3 linked regions of the Lytechinus pictus genome follow. The protein of the gene in region 2 interacts with the protein of the main gene of each other region in a pairwise test. Links are inferred from orthologs where the notes say so. Each region holds a gene or a part of one and is shown on either strand. Other genes may lie near its edges.

What was found.
Region 1: the proteins of disks large homolog 1-like (region 2) and vang-like protein 2-B interact in a two-hybrid assay, tested with the Drosophila melanogaster proteins (3 studies listed by BioGRID). The link is inferred for Lytechinus pictus from reciprocal best matches to the Drosophila melanogaster genes dlg1 and Vang.
Region 3: the proteins of disks large homolog 1-like (region 2) and potassium voltage-gated channel subfamily A member 2-like interact in binary tests that used the Drosophila melanogaster proteins (3 or more experiments, as listed by UniProt). The link is inferred for Lytechinus pictus from reciprocal best matches to the Drosophila melanogaster genes dlg1 and Sh.

What each region holds. Positions count from the first base shown.
Region 1 is NC_087252.1:12,409,432-12,416,580, forward strand, and holds the start of vang-like protein 2-B, read right to left. Parts: upstream 3,069-7,149; 5' UTR 2,971-3,068; coding exon 2,902-2,970; intron 2,457-2,901; coding exon 2,229-2,456; intron 1-2,228.
Region 2 is NC_087260.1:18,803,648-18,810,733, forward strand, and holds the start of disks large homolog 1-like, read left to right. Parts: upstream 1-4,043; 5' UTR 4,044-4,100; intron 4,101-5,408; 5' UTR 5,409-5,459; intron 5,460-7,086. UniProt on the Drosophila melanogaster protein: During embryonic development, some isoforms are essential for proper neuronal differentiation and organization. Required for cell polarity; maintenance of apicobasal polarity.
Region 3 is NC_087253.1:9,708,628-9,716,626, reverse strand, and holds the start of potassium voltage-gated channel subfamily A member 2-like, read left to right. Parts: upstream 1-4,990; 5' UTR 4,991-6,383; coding exon 6,384-7,999.

The sequences.
Region 1 (7,149 bases), on a different chromosome or scaffold from region 2:
GCAAGGAAAGGAAAGGCCCAAAAAGCTTAGCAATTGATCATGAGGCTGTTTTCTACGATTGATTGCACTGATTATTGTATACCATCAATCGTAAAGATCAGCCCCACTGTCGATCGCTAAGCTTTATGATACTGGGTCCGTCTTCTAGGTATGGAATGTGTGCGTGCATAGAAAACATGCCATGATGAATTTGTTGATAATGATGTGTCAGGTTTGTGGATGACAATGTTATATGATGTGTTCAGGGATAGGCTAGTGGTAAAGATACCACATGAAAATTGGACAATAACAAACAGAGAAGGGTGGTGGGAATAAAAAAGTGCTCTTACGCCCGCGTAACCGTGTGCGCGAGCAAATTTTTGAAATGCTTAAAATGACCTGATTCATATGATATTTTGGTCAAAAAGTGATTTTCAGCATTTTACAATTTTGACGCACGCATACGCGCACGTCGTGACCTTTACATGACCTCTGATGACATGGACAGTTGACCCGTCACCTGAAGATGTGATGTAAATATGGTTGATTTTTTATAATTGATAACGAAGGTATGATTGATGTGATTTTTAAAATGAGGACCTTTTGACCTTGAACTTGTTTTATACACATGACATGATAAGTCCCCATAACTGATGATATTTTGAAGAAAATTGTTGATGTAGATTTTGAGATTTTGTGCGAACGAGAAAAGGGCGAAAAAATAAAAATGAATAACAAATAATAAAAAAGAAAATTTGTACAAAATTAATAGTTGATCTGTCGATTGACAGATCACCTAATAACATGAAAAATCAGTATCCCTGCTTTTCTGGGGAAAATGCATCTGTGAGAAAAAATGGATGAATAGCTATTTGGACAAAAATGATGGAAATCATTTTGCACCACACATGGCTATGTATCCATAAATCAATCGCCAATTACATCCAGAGGAAATAAAACTCTTCTAGACCAGCATTCCTTGTATTGCCTCTAAGGATAAGATTTCACAGACTATTACACCTGCTCCTTTGGAAGAAGAGGAGACTGGATAACTGGAGTTAGGGGAGTCTGGGATAATCCCAAGATAGGCATTCAGAGGTCAAACAAGGTCAAATATGAGATATGGTTTTCACCTGGTAAAATAAACCATATGCCTTGTTTAATAAAAACTCACTTCTATTGTAACTTCTATAAAAAAAATTGATTTGGATTGGCTGCTGAGCACTGTTACCATGGTAATTGACATAATGGCAGACTGGCATTTACAATTATAGTTGTAGCTATTTGCGAAAAGGGGGTTCCGGGGGAGTGTTTCATGGAAGGTTTTGTACTTGATTTTTGCTGACTTCTTTACTCTCAGCCAATCAGATGCAAGTATTTGCAGTAGCTTCTTATAATCTGTAAAGTGACAATCATGGTTATTTCCAATTTGTCTAATGCCAATTCGTCCAATTGCCAACTTGTCTACTATCATTTGGTCTACCATCAGTTTGTCCACTCACCACATGGTCTACCCTCATTCAGTCTAATGCCATTACGTCTAATAACCAGTTGGTCCAATAGCCATCTAGTCCATATACCATACATGTGGTCTATTAAACTAAAGTGTTAATTATGCAAAATGAATGAAAAGAAAATGGGTATTAGACCAACTGGTTATTAGACAAGATGGTAATAGACGAACCGGGGATTAGACGAACCGGGGATTAGACGAAGTGATGATTGGACCAAATGGTTATTGGACCAAATGAAGGTAGACCATGTGCTGAGTGGACGAATTGGCAATTTACCATGTCATTCACTGAGCAACCTTTTCAAGAACCCTGCCTTGCATGAAGTGCAATGTTTGATGTCATTGATTTTCACTACATACATTTTATTCATGTATGTAATCTGCTCTGGGAGCCCTGCACAACATATGGAAGACTTCTACTTTTCAATGTTACAGTGTCTAGACATGCATATTTGCATGGACAGTACAGTGTACATGAAGGCTTTCAATAAGTTCTGTACATGTGATTTTGTGCCTAAATTAATGCTCTAACTCAATTAAATGGGCTTACCTACATGTACACGTACATGTACTGTATGTCTAAACATTTTTCAACTCATACAGCCATTGTAGTTTGTGCAAGTCAAAATCAACCCTATTTTTACCATGTTTATTTTGACAGTATTCCACTATATCGAAGTAAAATATTTTTTACAAAAAATCCTTTATTACATGTACATCTCATTATTGTACAAACCTCATCTCTGTCCTCGTCGGTTGTAGCTCCGTGCGTTGCTATGGTTACTGATCGTTCTACATGAGAATGTCTTTTGCTGTGTCTCCTATTTTCTCCATCATTCTCTGAATCCTCTCGGTTTCGATGTCGCCGACCACGTCGCCCCCTGTGGCCACGCTCGCTGTCTTCGTCCGTGTCCCGGTCACGGTATTTGTTCTTCGAGCTCTTACTGCTCCTTGTACTTTGGTTCTGTAGGGGAAATCCACACAATTATCAAGGATTCATGTTGGCCTTTTAATCGTGAAATAATTTTAGCAAATTAGCTTTTTTTCAAAATCTTTACACATACCTGTAGGCCTACTAGGGCTGAATCAAAGCATACATGTACTACCGTTCAAATGACTGCTATTAAAAAACATAACCGTTTTGCCATTTCGTAAATCATAACTGTATAGGGGAAAAAAAATCCCTAAGAGTTGCTGGAATTTCACATTTCACATGTACTCATCCTTGAATCATTCATTTTGAACTTGTTTAGGATTCTTCTTCTCAATTTGACCAAAAAAATATAATTCCATGATGGAGTGTAAGGGTAAGTCCATGAACCTTTACTTTACCATAATTGAAATTAGCAAACTGAATTTGAAACTGTGACTGCAATTATAAGCAATTTGTTAAAAACCTATTCTAGTACCTGAGGCTGCGGAGTAACTGGGAACCCCCCATTATCATCAGCATTTTCAGGAGCACCGTCGGTATCCATTTTCAATGTTTTGGCTCCAGAGGGCGGTGTTCCCGATCCCGTGTCAGTCTTGATGAATACGGCAGTGACCGTCAGTTTGAATGATTATCTCTGCATCTGGAGGGAAAGACAAGAAAAAAAAAGGTGGACAGTCTTTTATTTGCTGATTTGGAATACAAAAGAACGGGGGAGCATTTCATCAATGTTTGTCACCAGGCAAGTTGTGCCAACCGTAACTGTTGCTAGCTATGGTAACTGTTGGATAATGAGAACTTTATGACAAAAATTAGCGATTATCACTACAATTCTATGACATTTGCTCCGGCAACAATTGCTCCGCTATCATCAATTCCACAAACTATTCAAATGACCATTTTCAACACTGGATTTAATACTTAACACAACCCTAGCCTAACCCTAACCCTATTAATATAAGACCCTATTGCAACCCTCACCCTATTATGAAATAAAGAACGGAGCAGGTGTCGCTAGGACAAATGTTGTATCACTGCCACAACATCCATGTAACAGTATTTATACCTTTTTTTATATAAAATTCCCAGGAATTGCAAAAGAAAACCAGCAAAACAGACACTGGAGTATGCAGTGTGCATAGAAAGTAAAGTCGAAAGCAAAAATCATGATAATCTGAATTGACATCCATGTGGCTGATGTTATGTCAGAGTTTCGAATGTTGAATCAACCCCTACACAGTACTTGACCCAAACAGCTGGTCATGTGACCTGTTTATAAGCTGCACCAATCCCATGAGCCCCTGCACCAGACATTTAAGCTTCCAATAATATGGAGGCGTATTCAGACCAACTTGTTCGAGAATATCAGACCTCTGGTGGGTGTTTCATAAAGCTGTTTGCTCTACGGCGACCGTACGGCGAGTCGACAACAGTCGTTTAAACATTTTTGTACCAGCTGCATACAGGTGATTTGAATTAAAATTAATAAAATGGCTGTTTTCGACTCCATGAAGCCCCCCCCCCCTGGATCTGGAAATTTACTCTCTGATCTACAGCACACCTATCATAAAATATCAGGTATTTTTGGCAGCAAGAAAGCAAATATTTAATGTACTGCAATGTGAAAGGGATCTTCTCTGTGCAATATACACTGTAGGCCTACATGTATATTGGTGATTTATATATATTGGTGGCGATTTTTTACCTGATTGCTATTAAAGAAAGCATGAATGCTTGTAAGCAAGCAACCAGAGGACCGGTGGCTTAATGTCCTCTCCGAAGGACCTGTTACTGAGGATTGATGCCTTACCAAAGGGCACTAGCGCACCAAGTGAGAATCGAACCCGGGGTACTGGAAAACGAATGCCCCGCTCTACCGACTGAGCTACCGCGTCTCCTCTGCGCTTTGTAGACTAGTGCAATTGTACAACCCACAATGTATGAAGGCATAACCTCATAATTTTTACATACATGTAGTGCAGAGTCTGAAAGGAGACTAGATTCACTCATGTGTGGCTATTCTTATTTGACACAGGCAGAGAAAATGAAGTCTAGTTTTCACCCTACATGTACATGGCAGTATAATTTCTTCAAGTGTCAAATTTGAGTCTGCGCTTTGTAGACTAGTGCAATTGCACAGCCCACAATGTATGGGTGAATGAGTGAATGTGTAATCATGTGAACAATCTATGCTCGAATACTGATGATGCAGTATATCCCGTGGGACTCTACCCATCAATCCAGCTATAAAGTGCATTCTCCCCCAACTGAATTAATGAAAAACAACTTTTTTACGCATGGAAAGTATTCGTATCAATCACGGGGAGAATTCTCCATCAAAGCCTCGATGAACTGAGCAGTGTCAAAATTAAATTCACAAAAAAATAAAAATCTAAAGTGTAGTTGGCACTTTGTTTTTCTTTCACAATCTGTAGTTTTCATTGTGACATTGGGCAGTTACCCAAAGCCCCCCCCCCCCTTAAAAACCTGCACGTAGATGCACATACTTTTAATCAAACCATAAAATTGCTTATCAATATAATCCACAAAAATTAACTATTTTTCATACTACCAGTATAATATTTCATATGATTCAGTGTAAAAAAGGAGCAACACAATTTGTTCCACAATGTGCTGCACTCGACCCAGTGAGGTGAATGGGTACTGAGCGCCGGTGATGGTAGCTTGAGCCATGGATCTACTAGTAGGTCCATGCTCGAGATTAAGCCAGGGTAATAATAGCAGCGCTTTGTATCCTCAGGCAAAAAGCGCTTTATAAATAAATAAATTATTATTATATTAATGGAAGAACTTGAGTTATAATGTAAAATGCAAGTCCTGCAAGCTTCTTGGTAGATGGGTACAACTGAATACCCAGCAACGGAGCCCTGCCATGGAGCCAAGCCATTGATCTGGACATCAGAGATCCTGATCAATGAAAGGTCTTGACTTCACCTATCTGGTTCCCGAGATATTTGCCCCGATACAATTTCCCACTACGTGCTTGTCAGGTATCAATGACTTGCATTGCATTCTTTTTTGGTAGCGAGTCCTAAGGGTGATCACAGGATTGCAGTCTTTGTAGTTTTCCACACTGATCTCTCTTCTTGCTCTTTATCTCTTTTCCTCTCTCCTTTCCTCTATTTTCCCTTCTCCCCTTTTCCTCAATCGTCCCTTCTCCCTTTCCTTTATTTGCCCCCTTTCTCCTTCCTATATTTGCCTCAATACAATTTCCCAATACATGCTTGTCAAGCATCAATGACTCGCGCCCCATTCTCTTTGGTAGCTACATGTAGTCCTAAGGGTTATCGAAGGTCTGTTTTCTCCTTAGTTTACCACACCAATCTCATTTTTGTCCCCTTCCCTGACTCTCTTTTTCTCTCCTTCCCTAAAACTTCCCTCCTCTCCTTTTCTCCAAATGTACAGTGTAGAGCATCTGGAATACAAGAGATGATCGAATGGATACGTTTCTATATCATCCTTTGGCAATAATCTACATTTACCACATTTGCCACAAAAGGACCCCAGCCCTCACCCAGGTGATGGAATTGGGTACCTGGCAGGAAACGTGTACATGTGTTGGGCCTATCCCTTGAAATGCTTGTGTGCTGTAAAATAGCTTGCCAGGCAAAAAACCAGAGATTAATATATTCAACATCATTTGGAAGCCCAGAGATGTTTTAGATGAAATAATTAATATGATAAAATGCACAAGACTGGAATAGCATCTCCAATTTCTCTGTGATAGTGAAGATCATTGGTAGACCCCATTTCAAGATGTACAGTATTGTAGGTCTGAGGAGGTGGACTATTGAGGCAAACTAGGGACAGTCAAACGTGAATTCATTGAACACACTGAGCAATATTGGAAGATAAAATGAGGCTAGTCTGCAGGCGCAGACCCTTCTTTTTTGCATAATTCGGAGTCTGAAGTAGTGAGACTAGATTCACTATACCGTGGCTGGCTCTGAACCTTTGGCGTCTAGTCTTTACTCTAGACCTGTTATTGGTTAATGTGTCGAAAATAGGTCTGTGCTTGCAGACTATGCTGACACTTCTGTTCGATCATGTAATTATCCATGGCTGGAAGGGGAATCGACCAAGGCAATATGAGAGGGCAGGGAGAGGGAGCATGAAATTGAAATCCTAAATCAATAGAATCAATCCCACTCCTGACATTTGTAAATTTGATGTCATATGAATGATGAGGCTTTGCAATGAGGCATGCCTTGAAGGGCTACAATCTCTTGGAGTGCTCACACCATGCTTGAATATTTTTTTTCGTGCCTGCCCCCTCCATCCCCCCCCCCCCCCTTTCCATCCCCATGACTAGTCTGCGGGCACAGACCCATTTTCGACACTTTAACCCTTGGTTTTCACAATTCGCATACTGCATAATGCAGAGTCTGAATTGGTGAGACTAGATTCACTATGCACTGTGGGTGACACACACAGAGTCATTGGAATCTAGTCTTCACTCTAGACCCATTATTGGTTGAAGTGTCAAATATGAGTCTGTGCTTGCATACTACCCATGACTATTCACAGATAGAGTGACAGTTTTTCTGGCATAATTAATGGTAAAGAAATTTAATTGGCTTTAATATGTACACTGTCTGTACAGTATGTAGGCCTACATGTACATATATGTATGTATCATACAGTGTAGTAAAATCTCAGTACATTATTTTCACCCATTTTTAAAGGTACATGTAGAATCTGTGAA
Region 2 (7,086 bases):
TTTTTAATTTGAAAATTTGAAATAAATCAAGATTTAAGACGTGTATTCACACTTCATAAATTAGCTGTCACTTTCAGATACATACAGACTTTGGAATATCTCTATATTTCATTTATATCTTGACAGCTTGCAAAGAATTTTTTTATAAAGTGCACACCTAGTTACCAATAATGCGTATATCATTTTCATTTATTTGAATGCAGGATAAAAGAGCGTTGTCAATTAAATGTCTTGCTCATTGGCATAGGTGCCGCGGCCGGGTATCGAACCTTGGACTTTCCATCTATAGCCAGGCGCCTTAGATCACTCGGCCACGGCACCTCCACTTGAAAAGAATTGGGGAGATACCTGTTTATGGACAGATAGGATGACACAGAAACGGTTGACAATGAATTAAACAAATCTTTACTTCATCTACAAAGCTTCAGATTTCAATCTGGGATTTTCCCTTGTCACTGATGATTGGTTTTTTTCTCTCTTTTCTCTTTTCTCGTTTTTACCACTATAATCATTGTATTTTCATCTATTCCCTAAAGATTTACTGTACTCAGTGCTTTATTTTTTTGTCAATTTGAAATTTGAATTATATATGTCCCTGTTAACCAAGAATCTCCCACTCTGCACGCTGAATTCAAATAAATTTTGAATAGTGATAGTGATTTCGATGACATATTCAATTTGATTTGCTCCATTTTATTCGGGCCATTCAACTCACTAATTTTTAGGGTAGATTTAGCCTTTACACACACATTTTCACCAGACTAGGGCCCATATGATATTTTTATATTGAAATACAACCACAAATTACTTGAATAAGATCACTTTCCATTTTAACATAGCATTAAAAAAATTATATTAAGAGACGAATAGCAGATAATTTGATAACACTATAGACCATCATCGAGCATCATATTAAAAGAATACACGGGACTCAGAGAAGTATTCTTTTTATGAGTTGACCTAATAAAAAGTAGGCCTTGCCTGCTTCTAACAGTATGCCACATTTCTATGCAAAAGTTCTTCAGAGAATGAGTTAAAAATATCACATTCTTGGGTTTTCTTATGGTTATCTACCCCTTGAGGTTTGCATCAGAATGCCAAGAAACAAACAAAAATGTCAAGCCGTGACTAATAAACATGTAAAACCCACAAACTCTGGCACCTTACGGGCAAGAGAAGACTATGGAGAATTAGAAATGCCTGATGCAAAGAATGATGTGATAGCTATCTTGGATGCAAATGTCTTCTAATCCGTATTATTTTACGCATCGAATAGAGAACACGGTTGACTCCCTGAGCTGATTGAAAAACAACTTAAGATGTTGTTTAGTGAGTTGTAGAGTTTGATCGTATGTCATTAAGAATTCACTGTACACGTGTTGTTATCTGCTTCACTAGATTGATTACTGCATTTTGGTCTCTCAGTGGGCTCCAATATTTGTCGTTGTATTTCTGCCTTTGTTGCAGATTAGCATTAGAGGTTGCAAGGCTCGATCAAATTGCAGGTGTCGAGATGATTTGAAAGGGTTCTGTTATGCATTGCGGAACGTGAGTAGGATGTCTGATAAATTGCAATATTCCTAATGTGCTCCTAGTTGATGCATCTTGTTTATACAGTGGTATACAATTTGAATCATTTATTGGTTAAGCAAATTGTATTTAACTTGTGAGAATTCAAAACAGTTGAATGTTGGTGAATTCTGCGTCTCATATAGCTCATCATTATCATCATCATTACCAAAATCATCATCATCATCAACACCACCATCGTCATCTTCATTATCATCGTCACCATCATAATCATCATCATCATTACACCTCCACCATTTTCATTATCACCATGATCATTCCATTATCACTATCGTCTTCATCACCACCACCATCATCAACACCTACACCACCGCCACTGCCATAATCATCATTGTCTTCTTCACAGCAGTCATTACCACCATCTTTATCACTGTCATCACTATCACCACCATCATCATCATGATCACCACCACCCTCATCTCTACTATCACCATTGTCACTATCATCATCACCACTGCCACCATCATCATCGTTATCATCATCACCATCATCATCATTATCATCATCACTATCATCATCATCATCACCACCACCACTGCCGCCATCATCATCACCATCATTATCATCACCACCACCACCATCATCATCAACATCATTATCATCACCACCATCTTCATCATCATCATCATCACCACCACCCATCATCACCACCTCCACTATTGTCATCACTCTACCATCACCACGACCTCCAACACCACCACCATAAGCATTCATTCCACTCCTCCAACGCCCATGGCAGCCTTAAACCTGACCTCCGATCACCTATCGATCAAAACCTGATTAAGGTCGTGCCATGCATGTCACGTCACCGAGGCTAGAAGTATATAAACTCGAACTAAAGCATCTTGCAAATAGCTTTTAGCGTTTACTTCAAAATTTTTGAATAGTCACTGAAAATGAGCTTGCTATCTGAGAATAAAGTTAATAGTGTATCTTCTTTTTATTGATAATTTTTTGTACATTGCACTACAGAGCTAAATTTAAACAACACTACAGCATCAAGTTACCTGTTTAGGGGATACAGTACAAGTAAAAAGAAAATGATAAGAGATACAGACCAACAATTGTACAGACCTTGTCAGGCAGACACAGAAACCAGGAGAAAGAATTATTTAATCAATACAATACAGCGTATCATTAAATAGCTTTTTTGTTCAACCCCTGGTAATTAGCATACACAGTCTGCACTCTGCAGGCAGAAGTACCCTCTATTATGAGGCCTTGTGTCTTTAAATTTAGCAGCTTTTTAAATGAAGTAAAATTAATGTAATACCCTATCCTTGCCGCAAGCTTAAATCTCTGCGTTATGATTCCAAATGGTGATATATAGTCCATGATATGTTGTTTACTACCTGCTGATGCAATTTAGATGTTTAATGAGGAAAGGAGAAATTTTTTCGACCATGCGGGAAGAGCGGGGCTTTTATGTACTTGAAACCAGCCAATATTTGTTAGATGTAGTTGTTATTTTCATGGTACGGCTAATTGGATCTGATGAGATTAGTTCTGCATTTTGTGGTGGGACTTATCAAAATGTTTCTCCGATGTTTATTGAATGCTTGGTTTTAAATATGAATGCTTATAACTTTGCTCATTTAGGCCTATGTGTATGTGTCGGAAAAAATTGTGTGTTGATGAGTTCAAGAAAAGGGTATGTGAATACTGATTGTGATTATGATATTGGTGGTATTGTTTGAGGTATGTATTATGATTGCATAATTTGGTAAAAACATTTTAACTTAAGAATCGGATGATTATATGGTGATGAGGAGTTGTGATGTTGATAGTGGCATTGGTGGTGGTGATGATGTCAATGTTGATGTGATGATGTTATGATGATGATGGTTGTGGTGGTCATGATGATGGTTGGAATGAAGATGATTATGGCAGTGAAGGTGACAGTTATGATAATGATGATGATGATGATGATGATTATGATGATGATGATGATGATGATGACGATGGTGGTGATGGTGGTGTTGATGATGATGAATACGACGACGATGATGATGATGATTATGATGATGATGACGATGATGATGGTGGTGGTGATGATGATGATGATGATTATGATGATGATGACGATGATGGTGGTGGTGGTGATGGTGGTGATGGTGGTGGTGGTGTTGTTGATGATGATGACGATGACGGTGGTGGTGATGGTGGTGGTGGTGGTGGTGGTGATTATGATGATGATGATAATGATGATGAGGTTATAAAAATGGCATTGGTTATGAAAGTGGTAGTAATGTAAAAATAAAGGAGAAAGTTGTTGTAATTGTTGATGCTGTAAATGGCTGATAAATTGTGGTAATGGCGATGCTGATTATTATGCTAATCTTGAGTTTAATAACTAGTAATTCACTATCATAAGTACTCCCCCATATTAGTGTTTTTGACATTGACAGTAGTAAATAAAATTTCCTTCCTTTTTCTTCTTTTCTTTTCAGCAGCCCTCACCTTCATCACCAGTGTTATCAGACAGATTAGAGGGAACAGGAACCCCGACAGTAAGTACAAAATACCCGCTGCTAAGACTTTAAAGGGGAACTTCACCATAACGCTGTGTTTATTTCAATAAAAACAGACAAATTTTCAAAAAATAGTGGTGAAGGTTGGGCAACAATCCATCAAAGAAAACAAGAGTATCCACCATACCAACAACATCACTTTCAATTTTTTTTTTTGAGAAAATGGCATTTTAAAAGATTGACATCACATGGAGGTGTCTTTACCATCAGAGATCACAAGCCATGCATTATGCATTGATCAAAGGGCATACAACTGTTGCTTTTGACTTCAGGAAAACGGTGTACCTCCACCTACCATACACAGCCTCGTGCAAAAACCTAATGCAAGATCCGGGCACAGAATTTCAGTGCAATCCACCAAATTTATGATTAATCACATTTTCTTCCTCCATTGTGGTTGGGTTTGTTTCCGTTTCCCCCGGCTTCCTGCGAAGTTTGATTCTGTAAGCGACGCCGTCACACCATCGTTCATTTGATTTGTTCAATAGGTTGAAACATTTGATTTCATTATACCAGAACAGCCGATTACACCATGTACATTTCACATACTCCAATCATGTGTATTATGTACACAAGATTTAGCTACTCTGATACAAAAAGCACATTTCAGGGGAGTGAGCGATGTAGAATTTAAAAATCCATGTGAATTAGTTGGGTTGTTTTTTCGTATCACGCTCTGACAATGAAAATTGCTAACAGAGCTATGCAGATGTAGGAATGTATTATATGATACCCTGAAAAAAGTCTAATTACTTTATTTTCCTTGCTTATTGCCAACTAGACATACTTTATAAACTGCAAACCCTTGTATTATTACTGACTAATAAGTCTTTTTCTATATACCAGAAGAAATTAGCACATATTTAAATGTATTAATACAAATAAATCATTGGTAGTCATACAAGTTAGATTTAAATGACTTTGGCATACCCAGTCATAATACTGAAAAATTATAAAATTGACTGTACTCTCTTTTGGAAAATTTTGGAATTGCATAATTTGGAATTTTTCAGGAATTTGAAAAGAATGAGTGTTATCTAGAGTAGATATGAGGTTATTTTTCTTTTTTTTTCATGAACCAAAAAATTGATATCAAGTTTTATGTACGGGAACAGCGGAGCATATTTTCATTCGATTTTTTTGTAATGATAAGTTGATGGCAATTTTCTTTACCTTTTCTCATTTTTATGAGGAATTGTTCCTATTTAATATATATTGTCTCTTCTTAAACTCTTGGTTTTTTTTTGTGTCTCCTTTTTTTTCTCTCTCTCTCTATCTCTCTGTCAGATACAAAATAGAGATACTCAGTGGCAATATGAGGAAATCACATTAGTACGGGTAAGTTTACCATGTTTATTCCTTTTTCTTCTTCCTCTCCTCCCATTTCTTCATCTTCTTCCTAGTTTTTGTCTGTTCTTCTAATGCTCTGGTTTTTTTATCTTCACTTCGTTTTCTTTCTTATTTATCTTATATTTTATCCCCCATCTTCATCATCCATCTCATTCCTTTTCTACTTTTCTTTCTCCTCCTTCATTCTTCTCCTTTTTATCCTTCATCATATTACTTTCATTCTCTCACTTTCTTTGATGTCCTAATGCATTTTTACCATGCTCCATGTCATCTCCAAAGATTAATCACAATCTTATTTTTTTTAATTCAATTGTGAAAAAAAAATCAACCATCACCTTTATATAGGCAACTCCAAATAAAAATCCAATCTGCAATTTAAAAGGGGGGGGGTAGAATTCCTGATGCATGTCCAAGACAATACAGAAAGTCTTGAACAGAGACCAAATCCCCAATTTGAGCAAGAGAAGCTAGACATCGGAGATACAGATTAGTCTCTTTTTCCAGACAGTGTTATTGTCTTCATACTAATCAGAGACCGACTTCTCATGCATCTGTTGCCCCTGGGTTTTTTTTCTTTTTCTACTTATTTTTGAAAGGCCATCAGATAGATTCCATTATTCATAGAGTTATCGATTTTCATAACAACCTCCATCTTCTCATCTTGAATGTTATTTTTAGACCTTCGTTTAAACTCAAATATGCACAAAACCTCAAGCTTGGGGATCAAAATATGACATGGATAATTCCATCTGGTATGATATGCATAATTAAGGCCTCGAAGAAGACATCTGTAATTATCTTTTGCATCGTTTGGCCAGGAGAGAACTAAAAGATAATAGCGAGATGAAATTATTCTGCATTTTGTGGATTATTCCGTGGAGTTTGCTGACATTTTGTCATGAAGAATTTGATCAGGTTTATTGTGAAATTGAGGAGAAATTGTAACACGGGTAATTTCCGAGTTGGTTTAGGGCAGTTTTTTCTGGTTCGAGATGACTTTAGTTGAGCTTCCTTTTTAATAATCTGAAACAGAAAGTTTGTTTTATTAGAATTTTTTTATAAAAATTATGTTTTTTCCTAATTTATCTACTCAATATTGGATTTTCTCTGAATGTTATTGACAGGATTGTCTCCCTTATATATTATCCATGTATGTGTAACATGATACATAAATTTCACATCTTATTTTATTCCACCCCCTTGGACCCCCCCCCCCTCTTTTGCAATTCCGTTCTTTCCCCCCCCCCTCCCCCTTCATTATTCCACCCATTTATCTATCTCGCTCTTTCTCTCCTCTCTATCTCCCCATAAGCTTATTTTCACTCCCTCTTTCTATCATTCACTCATTCATTAATTTCCCTGCAGTGATTTCCCTCCTGCAAATACAATTTTTCAATCACCTTTTCTTATTAAGTATTGATAAATACATTTCTCCTTGCCCATCGTAAAAAAAAAATCATTTCTACATTCATCGACATCAAACCATCGCCCTCCTCCTTTTCCTTTCGTCCCGAGTTGCGAGACTAAACCACTGTGGAATTTGAAGATTGGGAAGAGTAAATAACATTTCATAAATGCCTCATGCACATGGCCATTTCTCTATTTTCTCATTTCT
Region 3 (7,999 bases), on a different chromosome or scaffold from region 2:
ATTTACCTTTAATATACGTATGCCAATACGTTAAAGTAGACATAGTAGAAAGGTGCAGTGACACAAACAAAACCTTCTCCAAACCGATATATTTTACGCCATTTGAAATAACGTAATATACCTCGTCGGTCTGGAGTCGGTCTCGCCAAGTGCGACTGCGGCAGGGACGTAACGATCTCGTTCTGCAGCTATTCTCTCAACGGTACAATTCTATTGGGTTTTCTTTCAAGATTTTATTACCATCGAATTTTCGATCGGAACTAAAAAGTTGACCCATTGATCGTGCGTTTGGTAGTCGACTGGTCTCATTGATATCCTAACACTATACAAAAACATCAAGGTACATGGTGCTTAAACAAAATTCATTGCTGCATTCCTTAAAAGTTAAAAATAGCATTCAGATATGTGGACCTTTCGCTAACTTGGCTTAATATTTTGCTATTACTTTTTTTTCGGGGGGGGGGGGGAGGGAGGGGGGGGGGATATAGTCTTGTAGTTTTATTTGGAACTTTGTGTAGTCTCTAAGAAAGAGGAATGATAACGGAACATAAAGCGATGACAGTGATGAGCAGGGTGATCACGGTGAAAGTGGATACATTATTCATGTTAGCATTTCTACTCTGTTTTTTTATTTGAACATGCTCAAAGCGCAGCGTGGTGATGATGATCACAATGATGACGATGAAATAGAATTGAATTTATTACACTTTTGAAATAGCTCGGTAAAATGCGTAACTTTTAACCAACACTGGGCAACATACTATGACACAACTATTGGTTAAAATCTGTCAAAATTGGGGAATAAAGACTAATAACTTGGTAAACAAATTGGGAAAAATAAATAATATTATAATATATATATATATATATATATATATATGATTGGTTTAGTGTCGAAAATCTGTCTATCTGACGGTCAATCGGATCGGGGTCGCCCTCGCCACTAACCCGTCTCTGTGGTCTAGTGGTTAAGGCACCGGCATTCAAAGCTGGGGGCCCGGGTTCGATTCCCGGCAGAGACATTTTTTCGGCATCACCAATTTTTCCAAAGGGTAGATAGGTCTGGGGAACCTTGATTTAAGCTACGCCTACCATTGTTCTCTTCCTCCATTTCTTTCACACAATATTTAAATAAAACAGTTGCCAAAGCTGTTGTACATGTATGACTATACACATTTGTATACTTTCTCCCATATAATACGTGTACTTTATCAAAGCAATACCTTTGATCCAGCTGAGGCGTGGCGGCTTGTCATTGTTTAAAACCCACCTTCACCCGACAAAGGAAATTATGATTGGTTTAGTGTCGAAAATCTGTCTATCTGACGGTCAATCGGATCGGGGTCGCCCTAGCCAGTAACCCGTGTCTGTGGTCTAGTGATTATGGCACCGGCGTTTAAAGCTGGGGGCCCGGGTTCGATTCCCGGCAGAAATTTTTTTTTTCAGCATCACCAATTTTTCCAAAGGGTAGATAGCTCTGGGGAACCTTGATTTAAGCTACGCCTACCATTGTTCTCTTCATCCATTTCTTTCACACAATATTTAAATAAAAGAGTTGCCGAAGCTGTTGTACATGTATAACTTCACACATTTGAATACTTTCTCCCATACGTGTACTGTATCAAAGCAATAGCTTTGATCCAGCTGGGACGTGGCGGCTTGTCATTGTTCAAAACCCACCTTCACCCGACAAAGAAAATTATGATTGGTTTAGTGTCGAAAATCTGTCTATCTGACGGTCAATCGGATCGGGGTCGCCCTAGCCACTAACCCGTCTCTGTGGTCTTGTGATTAAGGCACCGGCGTTTAAAGCTTGGGGCCCGGGTTCGATTCCCGGCAGAAACATTTTTTTTTTCGGCATCACCAATTTTTCCAAAGGGTAGATAGCTCTGGGGAACCTTGATTTAAGCTACGCCTACCATTGTTCTCTGCATCTATTTCTTTCACACAATATTTAAATAAAAGAGTTGCCAAAGCTGTTGTACGTGTAATACTTCACACACACACACACACACACCCTCACACACACACACACATATATATATATATATATATATATATGTATATATATATATATATGTATATATCTGTTGAGATACCCTGTAGCTATAGTCCTTCTGCTGCACTTCAAGGTTGAGCATGGATGCTACGATGTAATTTACCAGAAGCTTGCATAGCATTCTAAAATAATATCAATAAGTAATAAACTGAATATTACCCAGTGCATAGCCAAGCGTCTCCATCCATTCATCTCGTGTTAGCCTATTTGAAAACGAATTTCGTGTTCTAAGCATACATGGAGAAAATTAGCAATTAGCAAGTGAAATTGTAATAAAATGTATATCTGAATCTTAGAAAATCTAAGTTAAATCTATTTTGATTGTAAGGAAAATCACCCTAACAGTGCATGTCAATATTACAATTAATTTGACAGTGTATACTTTAAAAAGGTTTTTTTTTTATAGATGACTATTGAACAAAAAATGAGTAAAAAATGAGAAAGACGATTTCATTATAATCTTTGGAACAAATATCCATACACTTTATACAGCAGGAAATTAAAATAAATCTAGATAAATTTTAGATATGGACCGATCGAATTCTGGATATAGTTTTAATCATAAAATTTCATTTTAAATCTAAAATAATTTATATTAAAATTTATCAAGATTAAAACATGGTTATAACAATACATACGATTGATTTTTATATCTCAAAGGATTTATATCAAAATCATTATAGATTTAAGATTACTTTTTATGGGATTAACTTTAAATCCAGATTGGTCCCTATTTGCATTATCCCGGGATTTTATTTAAATACCTGCAATTTAGACTGTAGCTGTGGACTGTCTCGGATGGGATTTCTTGGAAATCATATTTGAATGTAACATGGTATGTGAGTAATTTGATATGAAGAGTTTGGTTGCAAAAGGGGTTAGGTCTACTTTGGACCATTCCAAGAAAAATAATGTTTCTTAATTCTCACGTATTGTAATATTCTTATGAGTGACAAAATTGTCATGGTGTACTCTCCTATTATGTGAACATAAAATTAAGTATAAAAGAAATTTACCAGTCTTCACTTTTTTCTACATAAAGTCATTTTTTAAATTATCATTGTGGACCTAATCCCTTTTGCAAGCAAATTGAAATGAATCCAATCTCTTTTGAATAAAAAAGTGATTTTTCTTTGCCACTTTTATTCACATTTTAATGTGAATTTAAAATTTTCTTTGGTATCATCAGAGCGACTAATATCTATAGCTTTCGGGACAGAAAAAAGAAGATTTATAAAAAATGGACCGAACTCATTTTGACAAATGAGCTGTTTATAAGAGTTTGGTTGCAAAAGGGATAGGGTCCACTCCAAGAAAATACCTTTTTTTACTTTCCCATATTGCAATATTTTTATGCGAAACTAAGTTTTCATGATGCCCTACCATGTGAACATAAAATTGGGTATAAAAGAAATCTACCTGTTTACATATTTTTTTAAATATTCTTTTTCAAAAAAATCTTTTGTTCACTTTTTAATGGGAATTTCATCGTTTCTTGGGTATCATCTTATGAAGCTACTAAAAATGTATACATTGAGAAAATTGACCTAATCCCTTCTGCAATTAAGCTCTTTATATGCTTCACTATCTTTTCATTTCATATCCCCTTCTTATTTTGGACTACTATTGATGTCATTTTGATAATCCCTATATGGTCTTATTTTATCTTCGAAGACTTTTACAAATTCGTTATATTTTGTTATAACAGTAATCATTTATAATATATCCTAATCGATTTTGCACGATACTTTTATTTGAAAAAATATCCAAATCGCAAACGTAATATAAATCAATTATAGTTACCTAGGTTGCTGATGTCATCAGTCTTACTGAAATTGATATAACTATTATCTTTATGAAGTTGTTATGAATTGTAATATCTTTATTGATATCATTATTGGAGTTATTATCACAGATATCACCATTTTCATTCTCCACATTATCATAATTGTTGTAACTAGGTTATAATCGTAAACAGTATAAATCGGATAATTCCGACCATTTAAACGCGAGTTTCCTTTTCGTTTGCAGCTTAATTGTTCTTTGCTTACACTGTAGTACTCGTGTGATGAACTTTTGTTTATCAATAGGTCGAGCTTCACGAAAAAATGCCATATCACTTTCGCTGTTAACGTTTAATCTTCATCACCACCGGCATTATCATTATCATTGTTATCATCACGTGTCACGCCTTGTAAGTAAGATATGATTAAAATATATTTGGCGCTAAAGCATCTACTTGCAATGAATACTGATTTTTTTATGGAAAAAAAAAAGTAAAAAAAAATCGGTTTGGTTGCAATGGAGCTATTGGTATATGATGATAATGAATATATGGCGCTGGTATTTAAGCATATTTAGTGCAATCACATTAACCAGTAATATATATTTAGTAACACATAGGCCTACAGATTCGCTTGTCAATGTATTCGATTCATCTTCCCACCGTCACCATTCGCAATAAACACGAACAATATCACATGTAGAAATTAGCACATCCAAAGAAGACACTACCCGGCTAAAAGACTCCAGCTCGGCGCCAATTATTTTCCCCTCTGTAAGCCTAATCACGAGGTATCACGATTAGACAAAATGAAAAAAAAACCGCATGATTCTGAAAACTCGACATCGATACGTGTTTTAGCGCGATGACGACATCAAGTAATTAACCCGAGCGCTTCGCTACAGCGAGGAGTGGGGAAGAAAATGGGCGACGAGAGAGTTAAGACCATCTCATTCCGCATTCAACATCCTTGTTCATTGTCATCGCAATCGCCTCTTCAAATAGAACACACAAGTGATGCGAGCCCCGTGAGATATAGCAATACTGTAATACACACACGAACACGCGCACATCATCGGCGATGCCTGCGTGTATTATTAAAAAAAGCGAGTGTATACACCGCCGTGAGACCGACATATATTATGCTCATTGGCGTGGAATTACACCAGCACGCTTCGGTCGATTCTTCATTTGGCAGGTCGTAGCCAATGCATTGGAAGTCAGCGAATAGCCATTCAGATTAACGAATAAAGAACAAGAGGTCCAGGCCGGGCGCTGCCAGCTATCTGAACGAGGAGAGTTCATGCTAGCTCTCGCGACTATTTCAGTTCACCGTCGCCATTATAGAGGCTGCTGGTGTACCCGTTCGTTTTGAACGGATCAAAGGAAAGCTTTGGTAGATCGGAACATAGTGTACTGCAGTTTCTCCTTTCATGGCTGTCTTCCCTCCGTGTAACTTGCCTGTGGTTGAAGAAACAAGAGATGGGGATGTGTTCATATCAAGTTATTGATAGGGGGAGGGGTCGACACCCAAAACGCTAGCAACATTGGAAACCGATCTCACATGAACCAAGGAGTTGGATTCCGGGGAACCTGCGAGGAAAACTAACAGGGATACCAAGGAGAGTTTAAGCAAACGTTCATGCACGGCGATATTGAATGTATATGCATAGACGTATGTCTCGTACCCTTTCTGATACAACTCATTGTATATAGAAAGTGGACATCGTTTTTTAACGGAGTCGAGTGGACGATTTATGCTTCAAATCTTCCGACATATATGTAATGACTTCCGGGAAGCTTGTTTTTTGATGATTTTGAAAGGAATGCACCACTGGTCTGTCACTGTTTGGATGTAATTTCAGTTGTTGAAAATTTATTGAAATTCTTTGACCTTGATTCCTTGCGTCTTAGGCATCCAGGCTTTAGGAAAGATAGCTCCTGTTCTGCCAAATCAATTCCATAACTTGGTATAAGATCATATGGTGTTTTCATGGTAAGTACAAAACTAATAACCTGCAAGAGAAGGCATAACTCATCTCTGTAGCTGTTAGGAGATCATTTAAGTTGCTTGTTAAAGGTAACTATTTATCTTTGCTCTTAAATTGTATATCTTTGGCTTATGAACATGATGATATTGTAATCAGTGCACAGAACTAGCATAGCTTTATTTACATTAAGGAACTGATCTCGACAAGAGATCATTAATCTATTTTCAGCGTGAGCAAAGAAACAATTTGACGATTGGTGGCAACTATAAGAAAGCCAGCCTCACCCCTTTGTCCCCTTTCCCCTAATATTTGCTCAACCTGCCGCCCCCTTTCAACGGAATTTAAGTTGCTTCTTGTATTTAGGCGCGCTCCTTTTTTTTTCTTTAATTGTTAAACACCAACCGCCACCATTTTCAACCATAAAATTGATTTGATCGAGCGTTGGGGGTTAAACCCTGCCTGGTCTCGCTCGAACAACAGGCAAAATAGATCCTGGGGTAGGAAAAAACAGCCCAAGACCTCCTTGGCGCCCCCTACGGCAAGTCCAAGGATGGAAGCGGCAATGGCAGGGCTTGAGGCGGCATCGGGTAACCCGTATGCATCCACCCCACGGCACTACGGAAGGTCAATGTCTCATACCCCCAGTGGAGGAAACATCTCTGGCGCTATGAGCAACTGTCGGTCTCTACCTCGACTCCTTGAGCAAGGTGATGACAGCAGTGATAGCGGGGAAGACATGGCAAGCGAAGATCCTGGATGGGAACGCGTTGTCATCAACGTCAGTGGACTCCACTACGAAACACACCTCAAGACTCTGAACCAGTTTCCTAACACTTTACTAGGGAATCCTGAGCGAAGGATCAGGTATTTTGATCCCATTCGGAACGAATACTTTTTCGATCGTAATCGACCGAGCTTTGACGCCATTTTGTACTATTACCAAAGTGGGGGACGGTTGCGAAGGCCTGTCAATGTTCCTATAGATGTCTTCACAGAGGAAATAAAATTCTATGAACTGGGCGATGGAGCATTGACAAAGTACAGAGAGGACGAGGGCTTCATTCAAGATGAGGAAAAAGTATTGCCTACGAATCCCTTGCAAAAGAAAATGTGGCTTCTATTTGAATATCCCGAGTCTTCTAGAATGGCTAGAGTTGTAGCGATCATTTCTGTAAGTGTAATCCTTATATCAATTGTAATTTTCTGTATGGAAACAATGCCAGAGTTCAAAGACGCGCGTAAGATGACGGAGAGTGGATCAGGGGTTACTACTTGTGGAGCGACTATGGCAGCGACTACGGTGCCCACGCCAACTCAATCAGGCAATAGAACGACATCATCGGAGGAAGCAGATGCTGCCTTAAAAAGTGCAGAACTGGCGGCATACTTCCGCCACCCGTTCTTTGTGATCGAAACGTGCTGCATTGTTTGGTTTACTTTCGAAATTCTGGTTCGATTCCTGTCGAGCCCCAGCAAATTGGCCTTTGCAAAAAACGTCATGAATATCATTGACATCATAGCAGTACTTCCATATTTTATACAAGTGGGCACCATGATCGCCCAGTCATCCACAGATACTAACAGCCAGGCTATGTCCTTAGCCATCCTTCGTGTTATCCGACTTGTTCGCGTCTTCAGAATATTCAAGCTTTCGAGGCACTCTCGGGGCTTACAAATTCTTGGTCGAACTTTAAAGGCCAGTATGCGTGAGCTAGGCCTGCTCATATTCTTCCTGTGCATTGGGGTTGTCCTATACTCAAGCGCCGTCTACTTCGCCGATGCTGACAGCTCGGACGAAAACGGCGAACCTATCTTTAAGAGTATCCCCGATGCCTTCTGGTGGGCAGTGGTCACCATGACAACTGTTGGCTATGGTGACATGAAACCCAAAAGTACAGGTGCTAAAATCGTAGGATCGCTCTGCGCAATAACGGGCGTACTGACGATCGCGCTTCCTGTTCCTGTAATCGTGTCCAATTTCAATTATTTTTACCACCGGGAGGACGACGGTGAGGATTCCTCAAACTACTCACATGTATCAAGCTGTCCGTTCCAACAAGCGCCCTCTATTGACGATAGAAGTGAAGGTAATAGTGAGTTGGATCAACATGATTTTGTGGAGATGGAAGAGGGGCTATTAGAATCGTCGAGTAGGAAATCTAATCA